Linked DNA regions of Canis lupus familiaris. The protein of the gene in region 2 interacts with the protein of the main gene of each other region in a pairwise test. Links are inferred from orthologs where the notes say so. Each region holds a gene or a part of one and is shown on either strand. Other genes may lie near its edges.

Region 1 (3,568 bases), on a different chromosome or scaffold from region 2:
GCAAATACTCCAACACCCAAGGGATTAGCCACCCCGTCCTGCTTGTCCTCTCACTCCTCCCCAGCCTCTGAGCTCTGGGGAAAGAGGCCCCACTCCCCACTTCACCCGGGGCACCCAGAAACAACCGCCTTGAAGGCAGACGCTCTTCTTGCTGCCTGACCCGAGCGCCACAAGAGCAGCACTCCCAGCCCAGGCTTTAAGCCAGGACCTCCTTCCCCTCCCTGCCCCCCTTACCTTCCACCTACTCACCTGTGCAGCCCCGGGAGGAGGGAATGGGGTGGGAGCCCAGGGGCTCCGCTGCCTCAACAGGTATCCATCAGTTCTGCCCAGCCTGGCCATAGCCAAGACCAGAACACACCACAGGGATGGCACAGGATGTTGGGGCAGGGAAATGAGCAAGGTAGGGGGTCAGGAAGAGGTGAAGGAAGAAGATGGAGAAGGAGAAGAAGAGAAAGAGAGAAGGGAGGATGGGGCCAAGGCCAGGGAGAGATGGGGACACAGAGGAGGGGAGAGAGTAAAAAGAAAGAAAGCAAAGGCCAAAGGAGGCCTTAGGAAAAACAAGGAAGAAAAAAGGGAAGAGGACACCCGACACAGCCTTTTCCTTCAGCTGCCCCTTCTTTCCCTGGTCCAAGGTACAGACGGGAAACAAATTCTCGCTGCGGCCGGAGGGCAGTTGCTGTTGGCCAGGTCTCTGTCTGCTACCTGGGTCCCAATCTGAGCTGGGCGTGGGATGTGAAGCAGCCATGGGGGCAGGAGACCTCCCTCAGGAGGGGTGAGGGTTCAGGCCCCTGCAGAGTTGGGGGGGTGAGGGTCTGTGCCCCACCTCTGTTGGCCCCCAAGTTCTCTCCTGATGGCCCCTCTGCGACTGTGCCTGTCTTAGGTTGTTCCTTCCCTGAGGAATCTTACCCGTCTCTGGCTAACCAGCCATCCTCCGGGGCCAAGCAGGGTGACGTGAGGTGTGCGAGTGAGGGCGGGGCAGCGCCCCCAAGAGGGTCAGTGCTCTGTCTCCTCCGCAGTCTATGCCCCCGTGGCCTCCACGCCCAGCACCTGCCTTGGGCTTCCCTCGCCTGCCGGCGGGGCCCCAGCTCTGCTCACACAGCTTGGGGAACCCAGGTTTCTTCTCCAGGGAGGGCCCAGCTCACACAGCTCCAGGCAAGAGAGACAGAATGCATGGCACCAGCTCCGAGGAGGCCTCAACCTCAGCATGAGGGAGAAAGCCCAGGCAACGGTGGCCTTGGGCACGTGGACCGTGAGAAGAGAGTCCCTCTTGGCCAAACGGCAAGAGGGGCTAGCGCAGAACAAAGAAGGAAAGGCCCATCAACAGGAAGTCCCAGGGCAGAAAGGCTTTCTCAGCCCTGGGACAGCAGGCTCTTGCATAAGGCAGCTCCATGTATGGGGCAGATGACAGATACCCCATGGTCATGCCACAAAGCAGGAGATGCCCTTCCTGGAACAGGAGAGTAGGGAGACTCTAGAAAAGGCTGTGTTTGGGAAGAGGAAAGACCACAGAACAGCAAACAGGTAGTCAGGTGAGAAGGAAGGTAAGGAGACCTCGGGGCCAAACTGGGACACACAGACAGACGAAGGGAGGAGCATGTGATCCTCCCAAAGGACAGGTGGTTCCAGCTCAGGGCTGCACATCTCCTGCAGACGGGCACTGGTCAGGGTACATTAGCTCAGCCTCCCAGGGGGTGAAGGTCCCCAGGAGGGGAGACAGAGGCTACAACTGACCTGATGTAGGTGGACTGATCTCGGAAGGTGTCGCACAGCGGGTTTCCGTCAAGCCACAGCTCTTCCAGCTTCAGCCCTTTTACCTTGTCCAGTTCCCTCTCAGATTTCAACTGCGGAGAGGAGGGCAGAGAGAGTGGGCAGGAGACCCCAATGAGGGAGCCGAGCCAGTGAGATCCCCACACCGTGCCTTCTGCTGTCAGCAGGCGAGCCCTCTGCACCCTCTACTCACCGCCCCACACAACATAACCAGACCCTCAGGTCTCACCTCATTTCCGGAGAGGTTGAGGATCTTCAGGTTGGGTGCTTTCTGCACAAGGCTGGACATGTCATCCAGCCTGTAGAGCCTATTGTTGCTCAAGTTCAAGGACAAGAGCTACAGGCAGAGAAAGGATTAGAGGAAGCACTGCCAACAAAGGATTCGGAGACACATCTGCCTCCTAGCCCCATTCTACCTGTCCCACTCTGCCTCCTCCCATCTCTAAGCAGGACAAAAGCCTCACCTCAGGGATATTCTCCTCAATGATTCGCAGCGTAGCCGCCATACAGCTCCTGCGATTCAGGACAACATCGATGTTCTGGGCCACCAAGTCTTCAGGCAGCATAAAGGAAAGAGAGGAAGTCTGAGAGGACTTTCCCACGTCAGAGTTCATACCAAACTATTCTCAAACTTTCCCCGCCCGACAGACCCCCCTCTGCCTCCACCTCTCTGAGAATGACCGCTGCTAGTCATACCTGGGTCTGAACGGAGACCCTTGAGGTCAAGTGCTTGTTGGGAACCATCGTATCGTTTGCTCATGATCAGCTACAGGAGAAGGAAAAGGGGTCAGCGGTCACTCGGGTTGTGCAGAGGGGTTGTGGATGTGAGAACTGGTGGAACTAGAGAGGAGACACATGACGTGAGCCTGCCTCACCTTTAGTTGCTCTACTTGTTCTGGCTTCAGTTCGTTCTGTACAGAATGGGGTGGGACAGAGGAGTTGATGATGATAGATATCTGCAGGGAAGACACAGAGAGCAAGGTGAATTCTGGGAAAGCCTAAGCCACAGGACCACGACCCAACTCCAGCCAAGCCAGGCCCTTTACACACACCCTTCGGTTTTCCTGATCCAAAATCTTATAGTTGACAGCTTTCAATGCAGAGGCGGTACTGGCATCCTCCACAAAAAACTGGGCCCGTGTGTTTTCATAGTGAAACTGCACAAAGAGGAAGAAACAAGAGCATGAGACTGGGAGCCTGGGGCCCCTGGTCCAGCTGGCCCCTCACCTTCCTTGGTGCCCAGTCAGCCACCTGGGCCTTATCTCACCTCAATGGGGGTGAAAGGGACACTGCACTTGCTCTGAATCACACTCAGGAGCCATGACTTGTCATATTTTCTCCCATAGGGAATCTAGATGAGAGAGAAGGAATATCATGTAATAAAGGCTGACCAACAGACTCAACCTAGTGCTCCTTTCACACCTTCTGCCAACTTCTATGACATTTCCTAAAGGAAGGGCCAGTTAAAAGTTTTTTTTTTTTTTACTCAAGTCAGACACAGATTCCTTACCTTCCTTTCTGCCCATTTAAACTTAGTATTTTTCAAGAAAATAGAACTATGTGGTTCCTTTTTTAAATTTAAGATTTCATTTATTTATTTATTTAACACAGAGAGAGAGAGAGAGAGAGAGAGAGAGCGCGCGCGCTCAATCAGGGGGAGGGGCAGGCAGAGTGAGAGGGAGAAGCAGGCTCCCTGCTGGGGTTTGATCCGAAGACCCTTGGATCATGACCTGAGATGAAGGCAGATGCTTAACCGACTGAGCCACCCAGGTTCCCCAAACTATTTGGTTCTAAAAGTTCT
Region 2 (4,295 bases):
AGGGGGCAAGCAGCCAGGCCTTGTCTGCAGTGCTGGGCTGGCCCCCGCCCCCCTACCAGGGCCTTTGCCTTGTGCCCACTGAATGACTCACCTTGGCACAGACACAATGGTCGGGGGTGGGCACAGAGCCTGCTCCCCACTGCCCCCGGGGCCCCCTCAGATGCTTCCGAGAAGCTCTTTGAGCTGGGGGCTTGGGCTGTACTCTGCCTAACAGCCTGGCATCTTGGGATAAAAACAGCACAGCCCCTCGGGGGCTGCCCTCTCCATGTGGCGCCCTGACCAGTGGTGGAAAACAAGGCTCTATTCAGCAAGTGTCCAGGAGAAGGGATCAGAGGCCCAGGCATTGGCCTCAGTGGGGCGGGGAGAGGAAGGCTTCCCAGAAATCCAAGGACACAGATGGGTGAGGGGCCTGGGTGAGGCTCTGGCCCCATGGGATCAGAAGAGAAGGGTGGATGGATCTGAAGTGTCAGGCTACAAGACGCCAGCCTGGGCTCCTAATATGGACCCAGTGGCTCCTGGGTTCCCAAAATGACCCATCCCCAGAGGCGTTTCCCATCCTCTCAGCCTGATGTGTGGGAACTCAAAGGATATAAATCTCCAGTGTGAAAGTGAGGTGAGGGGTGGTGGGGAAACTGGGGGATGGAGCAACAAAGATGGGAGCTGGGACAGCCAGCTCATCTATAACTGCTTTGTGCAGCTGTCTAGACCGGGCTCTAGGCAGGGGTACAGAGAGGCCAGGCACAGGGGAAGTGAACTTGGTGGGACAGAGGCAGGGGCTTAAGTGTGGTCCAGGGAGAAGGCCAGGGAGTCCAACACCTGCCCTTCTTGCCCCTTCAAAACTTCTATGTCCCTTCCTTCACCCCCCACCCCCTGCTGGACAGAGGCCTCAAATGACCCTCTAGACAAAGGGCTGGTATCCAGTTCCAGCCCACAGCCCCAGACCTCCGGGGAAGGGGGAGAAAGCAGGAATGCAGGACGCCTATGTTCAGAGCAGAGAAGTCCAACAGTCCACTAGGATCGGGGCTCAGCACTGTAACACGGGCTGCTTCTTGAGAGTATGGAACACATTTGCTGTTCGCAAATTCCAGCACTTAGCAGGCACTAGGAGGAGTGCTGAGCCGGGAAGGCCTGCTTTATGGGATCTAAGAGGTGGAAAGCGGTGGAAAGCGGGTCAGAGGTCATCTAATCCAGCCCTTTCTTGGCCCAACTTCCCAGAGAAAGGGCCTCCTTGCCTAAGTGGTCAGGGCCGCAGATGGAGCATCAGGCCCCAGGCATCGCCCACCAGCACCTCTGTCTGTGACCCGGCTGGGGTTGGCGTGCCCACGAGGCCCAGCCCCTGGGCACAGTGACCTCGGTGGGGTGAGAGGAGCCCCCCCGGAGCTGCGGCCCAGCCCCTCCCCCTCAGGCCATGCCAGGGGGCGTTGCCAGGGGCAGCCGGGGCCGTGCCAGGCAAGCCCTCGCCTCCATAAAGCCCTCACTTCCCGGGAGCGGGCAGGGCCAGCATGGAGAGGAGACGGGTCGCCTCGGCCGCTCGCCGCTCCTACGTCTACGTCTCCTCGTGGGACATGGCGGGGGGAGGCCCGGGCTCCGGCCGCCGTCTGGGGCCGGGCCCCCGCCCCTCCGTGGCTCGGATGCCGCTGCCGCCAACCCGGGTGGACTTCTCGCTGGCCGCGGCGCTCAACGCCGGCTTCAAGGAGACACGGGCCAGCGAGCGCGCCGAGATGATGGAGCTCAACGACCGCTTTGCCAGCTACATCGAGAAGGTGCGCTTCCTGGAACAGCAGAACAAGGCTCTGGCTGCTGAGCTGAACCAACTGCGGGCCAAGGAGCCCACCAAGCTGGCCGACGTCTACCAGGCCGAGCTGCGAGAGCTAAGGCTGCGGCTAGACCAACTCACTGCCAACAGCGCCCGGCTGGAGGTCGAGAGAGACAATCTGGCACAGGACCTGGGCACCCTGAGGCAGAAGTGAGGAGGGGGCCCGGGGTGAGGGACCTCCGGAGCAGGGAAGACGCCCGCCCCTCGCAGGCCCAGGACCTCAGGCGGAGCCTCTGACTCTGTGATCCTTGGCTCCTCTGTTTACCCATCTCCGGGAGGGGAGGGCTGTCCTTGCTCCCCAAGATGAGAGGGACTGGGAGGAGGCCGAGTCCCAAGGATCTGACTCCCAAAGACCTCTTGCAGAGGAGCCACGGTGCTCTCAGCACCTCCCCTTTGGGGAAAGCCATGTGGGAACAGTCAGGGACCCCCATAGGCAGGGTCTTCATGTTTCATTCGCTGCCGCTGGGCCTGGTGCCCTTGCAGAGCCCGTGGAGTGGAGAAATGGGAAGGGAAGATTGGTGTTCACTAGGAGGACGGGGCTCTGGGGCAAAGGAGGAGGTGAGGAAAAGAGCAGGTGAGCCTGGCTTGGAAACACAGGTGATACTGCCTGTCACCAGCTTATGATCCTGGTCAAGCCACTTTAGCTTGCAGTGCTGTGAAGTAGAGATTCTAATAAACCTATTTCCAAAGGTCAGAGGAAACCCCAGGGACGTGGCGTTTTGCTGAGCTGGCAGGGCAGGCATGTGTGCCCTCAAGTACAGGAAGATGAGTGTGCATGCAGCAGTGAGTGTATGTTGGTGAAAGTGCCTGTGTGAGCAGGAGCAGGTGCACCAACCTTGATAAAGCACTTTAGTAATGAGTTAAAGCACAGGCCCTTATCTGCTCACCCTCCTGGCCAAGGCTCTGTCTGGGACCCTCTGCCCTTCACTCCTCCTGTCATTCCACTGGGCCTAGGGGTAGGGGTGGGGGTCTCTCTGGCAGCCACCTCCAGGGAGATTGGGGCAGACACCCGGGAATGTGTCCCCCTACCCCAGGTTCCAGGATGAAACCAACCTGAGGCTGGAGGCTGAGAACAACCTGGCCAGTTATCGACAGGTGAGGGGGGTGGAGGGGAGGGATGGGGGAGGGGGGTAAAGAGTTGATGGCAGCTCACTCACACAGCCCCTAAGCCCAGCCCTCCAGAGCAATGTGCTGCTCTCCCCAGCCACAGAAGGAGGGACCAGACAAGACATGGGAGTGGGGAGAAGGAGTCTGGGGTCAGAGCAGCCTTTCGTCCCTCCCTGCTCCAGGAGGCAGATGAAGCCACCTTAGCCCGTCTGGATCTGGAGAGGAAGATTGAGTCTCTAGAGGAGGAAATCCGGTTTTTGAGGAAGATCCACGATGAGGTAAGGCCCTCAGAGAGATTGAAATGGATAGAGAGACAGAGACAGACAGAAAGAAAATAAGCATAGGGGAGACAGACAGAGAGATAAGAGAGCATCCTTAGCCCCTGATGAAATCCATAGACACACACCACTTACTAAGAATTATAACAGAACTTGTTGCCCCCCCCTCCTTTTTTTTAAAGATTTTATTTCTTCATGAGAGACATAGAGAGGCAGAGACATAGGCAAAGGGAGAGGCAGGTTCCCTATGGGGAGCATGATGTGGGACTCGATTCCAGGACCCCAGGATTAAGACCTGAGCCAAAGGCAGACGCTCAACCACTGAGCCACCCAGGTGCCCCACCCCATTTTTTATTTCACAACAGCCCTGTGTGATAGGAACCCTTCCGGTATTATTTCCTTTTCACAGAGGAGGACGCCGAAGCCCAGATATGTGACTTGCTGAGGTCACATAGTCTCTCTGACATCACCCCCACTGCCACCTGTCTCCATTTAAATGCGAGCCACTCATTTTATTTTTATTTATTTATTTATTTTATTTATTTATTTATTTTTAAGATTTATTTATTCAGAGAGGGCGCAAGAGAGGTAGAGACACAGGCAGAGGGAGAAGCAGGCATCATACAGAGAGCCTGATGTGGGACTTGATCCAGGGTCTCCAGGATCACACCCCGGGCTGCAAGCGGCGCTAAACCGCTGCGCCACCAGGGCTGCCCGAGCCACTCATTTTAAAAAGACACCACTGAGATCTGACTTCAGATTATAGATTCATAATCTATGATGCCATGGAACCTGGGACCCTGCAGACACACCCACACCACAGGGACTCAGTTGCTCTCCATAAGAACACAGGCACACTTTCAGTGCTCCTGCCTGGTGGAACCTGGGAGGAGGACACCATGAGGCCCCCAAACTACCCTCTGCCTCCCCTGGCCTGGGCCATGCCACTTCCTCTAATAGGACTGCCCAATTTCCCTTAGCTAACATCAATGTCCAAGGGGCAGGCAGGCAAGGGCATGATATTGTGGGGAAATGCCAGTTGCAGCCTAGGCCCCAAGCCCTGGCATCCCTTCTCTCCTGGCCAGGAGGTGCAG
Region 3 (3,568 bases), on a different chromosome or scaffold from region 2:
TTCCAGGACTGGTCTGTGGGGGATTTCAGGGGCCTACTTACGCTCTGCCATTTGTCTCCTGCCCACTGGCTGCTGTCTTTGACTCCAAGGCGTTGTTGAAGTTGGATATGTTTTCAGAGGAATAGAGGCCAGCTGGGTTGTTGTACTGGTTTGTGATGACCCTGGGGGCAGAGCTGGAGGCCGGCGAGGCGGTAAAGGGCATGGCACTCCGGTTGTGGGCGCTTCCTATGTGCAGGACCTCCTGTCGGCAGAGATCAGAAGAGAAATCAAGGAGGCGCTTGGTGCACACCCCTCGAGGGACAGTGCAGGCTGAATGCAGAAAGAAAGAAAGGTGTTCTGATGAGCTACAGTGGCCCTGGGTCGCACACCAGCTCCGGCTTCTCCTTTTTCCCTGGGGCCCAGTCAGGCCTGATCTGCAGCTGGGCACCCGTGGGCACGACACCCCCAGGTGCCTTGGGCTGTCATGATTCAAGCTGGAGCTGATACACCCTTTCAGGGCACATTCCAGAGGGATTACGGTACAAGGAGGAGAAGAACAGGCAGTCGCTTGGGTCAGTGTGGAGCAGGAAACGATAAAATGTGGAAACAAATTAGCTAGGATCCAGTGGGTCAGACAAGCAAGATAAGAAGCCTGTGAGGCCACCGGGCAAAGCAGCTGCTGAGATGACAGAGGTGGCTTGGTGCTCTGGCAGGAAGGGGTAGAAGGAGCTCAGGGTCTGTGGTTGCTTGCAGGAGAAGGCCACGGCTCGGCTGGGCAGGCAGAGGCTGGAGCTAGAGGCTGGAGCTACCGGTTAGAGGGGCACGTCCAGGAGCTCCTTGCACCCGGCCCCTCCCAGAACGTGAGCCGGTGCCCTCCACCCCTCCCCGGGCTGCCAGGAGCCCTGGGTAATTCCTGCCACTACAACAGCCCAGAGCTTCTTTGCAAACACTTACACACACACTTTTTAAACTAACATTCCTGTTCTTAAAAATCATGGCTTTTCTGACAATCCAACTGGAAAGATGCTTTTTCCGCACAAATATTCTGGACCAACCCGACTACACGGACGGTGCAGCTATTAAACTCAACATGCACCATGTTTTCTGTGTTCCCCAATACAGAACTTTCCTGAACCCTGTTCTCTTTCTTAACACCGAGGCCCATAACAACTGGCCCCCAAAGAGTTCTGGTCTTCTGTTGCTCTTCCTTTTTTTTTCCCTCTCTCTTTTTTGCCAAAACTTCAAGTCTTTTGTACCTTCTTAAAAACACTATGATGAAAAGTAATGGCCTACTTCACAATGTACTGATTTAAAATAAAAGACCACAAGAAAATATTTTGATTGCAATCTCTTTTTCACTAGTCAGATAGGCTTCCTTTTTAACCAGTTGGAAACAGTGAGGTTTTAATGTAGAAATGAAGGCTGAGTTCACTTTGTCCACCTTGGACAAAAGCAAAGTACACACAGATCCTTCATAAAGGGGGAGGTCTAATTAGTTAGGAGAGTAACTTCAGCAGTAACCAAAGCATGGTTAAGTGAATTTTACGGAATGACAACCCCTGAGGAATAGTCATTAACAGCAGGGGATTTGTAGATCAGCGGTGGATTTGTAGATTGGTGGTGGCTTCGGGACTTTGGTGCATGCACGTCAGGGCAGCGTGGGATAGACACACAGACACAGCCATAGTCGCAGTTCTATTCTCTCTCTCTGCAGCAGTTCCTCAGAGCAGGATGCTGAGCACCAAGGAAGATTCCAAGGAAGATTCCTATTTTTCTGTCTCCACTCAATTTTCCTATCACTTCCTGTTTGGCTTTGGGCAAGTTCTAGCTCTCTGAACCCATTTCTTTTTTTTTTTTTTTTTTTTAATTTTTTAAATTTATTTATGATAGTCACAGAGAGAGAGAGAGAGAGGCAGAGACACAGGCAGAGGGAGAAGCAGGCTCCATGCACCGGGAGCCTGATGTGGGATTCGATCCCGGGTCTCCAGGATCGCGCCCTGGGCCAAAGGCAGGCGCCAAACCGCTGCGCCACCCAGGGATCCCTCTGAACCCATTTCTCATCTTTACAATGAAGTAAATAAAACCTTGTCCATAAGGACTTGGTGTGACATACTAGCATACCAAGCACAGTGACTGGCACGTAGCAGACATTCAACCAGTGTTGGGTCCCTTCTCCCTCCCTAGAAACACCTTTTCAATTAGAACGGACGTCAACAGAAAATTATCCCAGTTGGAAATTCTGAGTTTTCACTTTATAGAGAATCTTCTGAGAATGTATCTGTTTTGTACATAAAAGGAATATCTCTAACCCCATGTGAATACTGGTCTGTCCAGAAGTCAGGCGGTTAATTCAGGGCCTGCCTTTGGGAAGGATGATGTAATTGTTTGGGCTTTGTATTTATCAGTCTCCAAGGAAACTCAATAATGAGGAAATATAAACTAGGTGTGTAACTACTCTGACCTCAGATAAGCTGGGGTGGTGGTTGGCATTACATGAACTAACAGATCTTTTAATTATAGATGAACTCTGCTCTTACTCATTCCTTTATTTTAGAATGACTGGAAGTGGAAGGTTTTGGAAAAAGGAGAGTGGGAAGTTTTTCATAGGAATGAAGAATTACTGGAATCAAAAGAAAAATATACTCAAGTTAGATGCTAAAGTATTTGTAAAGAATTTTTTAAATTCTTTTTTTTTAAAGAAGGGAAATACCTTTCAAAATATGAATACAGGGACCAGATTATATGTTTATGATGAAAACCCAAGCATAAGACATATAAAAAGTATTAACTGAAACATTAAGTATTACCTTATTTAAGCGAAGATAAGATTTTAGGTAGACCAAATTAAAACAAAATCATTCCTTATGTATTATAAAATGTATGAGAACATAACACATTAAAACTTAACATTTACAGTAAATTCAGTGAAGTAGCTAAGAAAGAACTCCTTGGGAAATTGGAATTAATGGTGATATGTTTAAAATCAGTTTGCATGAGGTGTGCCTGGCTGGCTCAGTTGTAAAAGTGTGTGACTCTTGATCTCGGGGTTGTGAGTTTGAGCCCCATGTTGGGTGTAGACCTTATTATAAAATAAATAAACTTTCAAAAAATAATAAAAAAATAAAATTAGTTTGTACAACTACTGGTTTATAGGCTGAGTGCCATTCTATCAGCTTTCCTTACAGAGCTATACGGAAAAACATGTTTATGCCAGTTTTGAAATGCCAGATGCAAAATGGTCCTTAATATAACTCTTAGGATTTCCTGAGTATGACTTTTATGTATTACTGAAAAAAATGTTGTGTAACTACATTTCAGAAATTTTAACAGATACCTTTGAGAAAACTGGACTTATAAAAAACTACTCAATTTATTCACACAATACACTCCATGATTTCGTTTTCTTTTTTTTCATCAGTTCATTTTTTTTTTAAATTTTATTTATTCATTCATGAGGTACACAGAGAGAGAAGAAAGGCAGAGAGACAGGCAGAGGGAGAAGCAGGCCCTATGCAGGGAGCCTGACATGGGACTCAATCCTGGGTCTCCAGGATCAGGCCCTGGGCCGAAGGCGGCACTAAACCGCTGA

The links. The genes of interacting proteins can lie anywhere in the genome.
Region 1: the proteins of GFAP (region 2) and NXF1 interact in a two-hybrid assay, tested with the Homo sapiens proteins (3 studies listed by BioGRID and IntAct). The two-hybrid records come from large-scale screens. The link is inferred for Canis lupus familiaris from reciprocal best matches to the Homo sapiens genes GFAP and NXF1.
Region 3: the proteins of GFAP (region 2) and PDLIM1 interact in binary tests that used the Homo sapiens proteins (3 or more experiments, as listed by UniProt). The link is inferred for Canis lupus familiaris from reciprocal best matches to the Homo sapiens genes GFAP and PDLIM1.

What each region holds. Positions count from the first base shown.
Region 1 is NC_049239.1:54,407,303-54,410,870, reverse strand, and holds part of NXF1 (nuclear RNA export factor 1), read right to left. Parts: intron 3,119-3,568; coding exon 3,035-3,118; intron 2,925-3,034; coding exon 2,820-2,924; intron 2,724-2,819; coding exon 2,643-2,723; intron 2,534-2,642; coding exon 2,464-2,533; intron 2,321-2,463; coding exon 2,232-2,320; intron 2,105-2,231; coding exon 1,997-2,104; intron 1,842-1,996; coding exon 1,732-1,841; intron 1-1,731.
Region 2 is NC_049230.1:18,455,311-18,459,605, forward strand, and holds the start of GFAP (glial fibrillary acidic protein), read left to right. Parts: upstream 1-1,476; 5' UTR 1,477-1,502; coding exon 1,503-1,966; intron 1,967-2,850; coding exon 2,851-2,911; intron 2,912-3,105; coding exon 3,106-3,201; intron 3,202-4,286; coding exon 4,287-4,295.
Region 3 is NC_049249.1:8,975,445-8,979,012, forward strand, and holds part of PDLIM1 (PDZ and LIM domain protein 1), read right to left. Parts: intron 242-3,568; coding exon 42-241; intron 1-41. UniProt on the Homo sapiens protein: Cytoskeletal protein that may act as an adapter that brings other proteins (like kinases) to the cytoskeleton. Involved in assembly, disassembly and directioning of stress fibers in fibroblasts.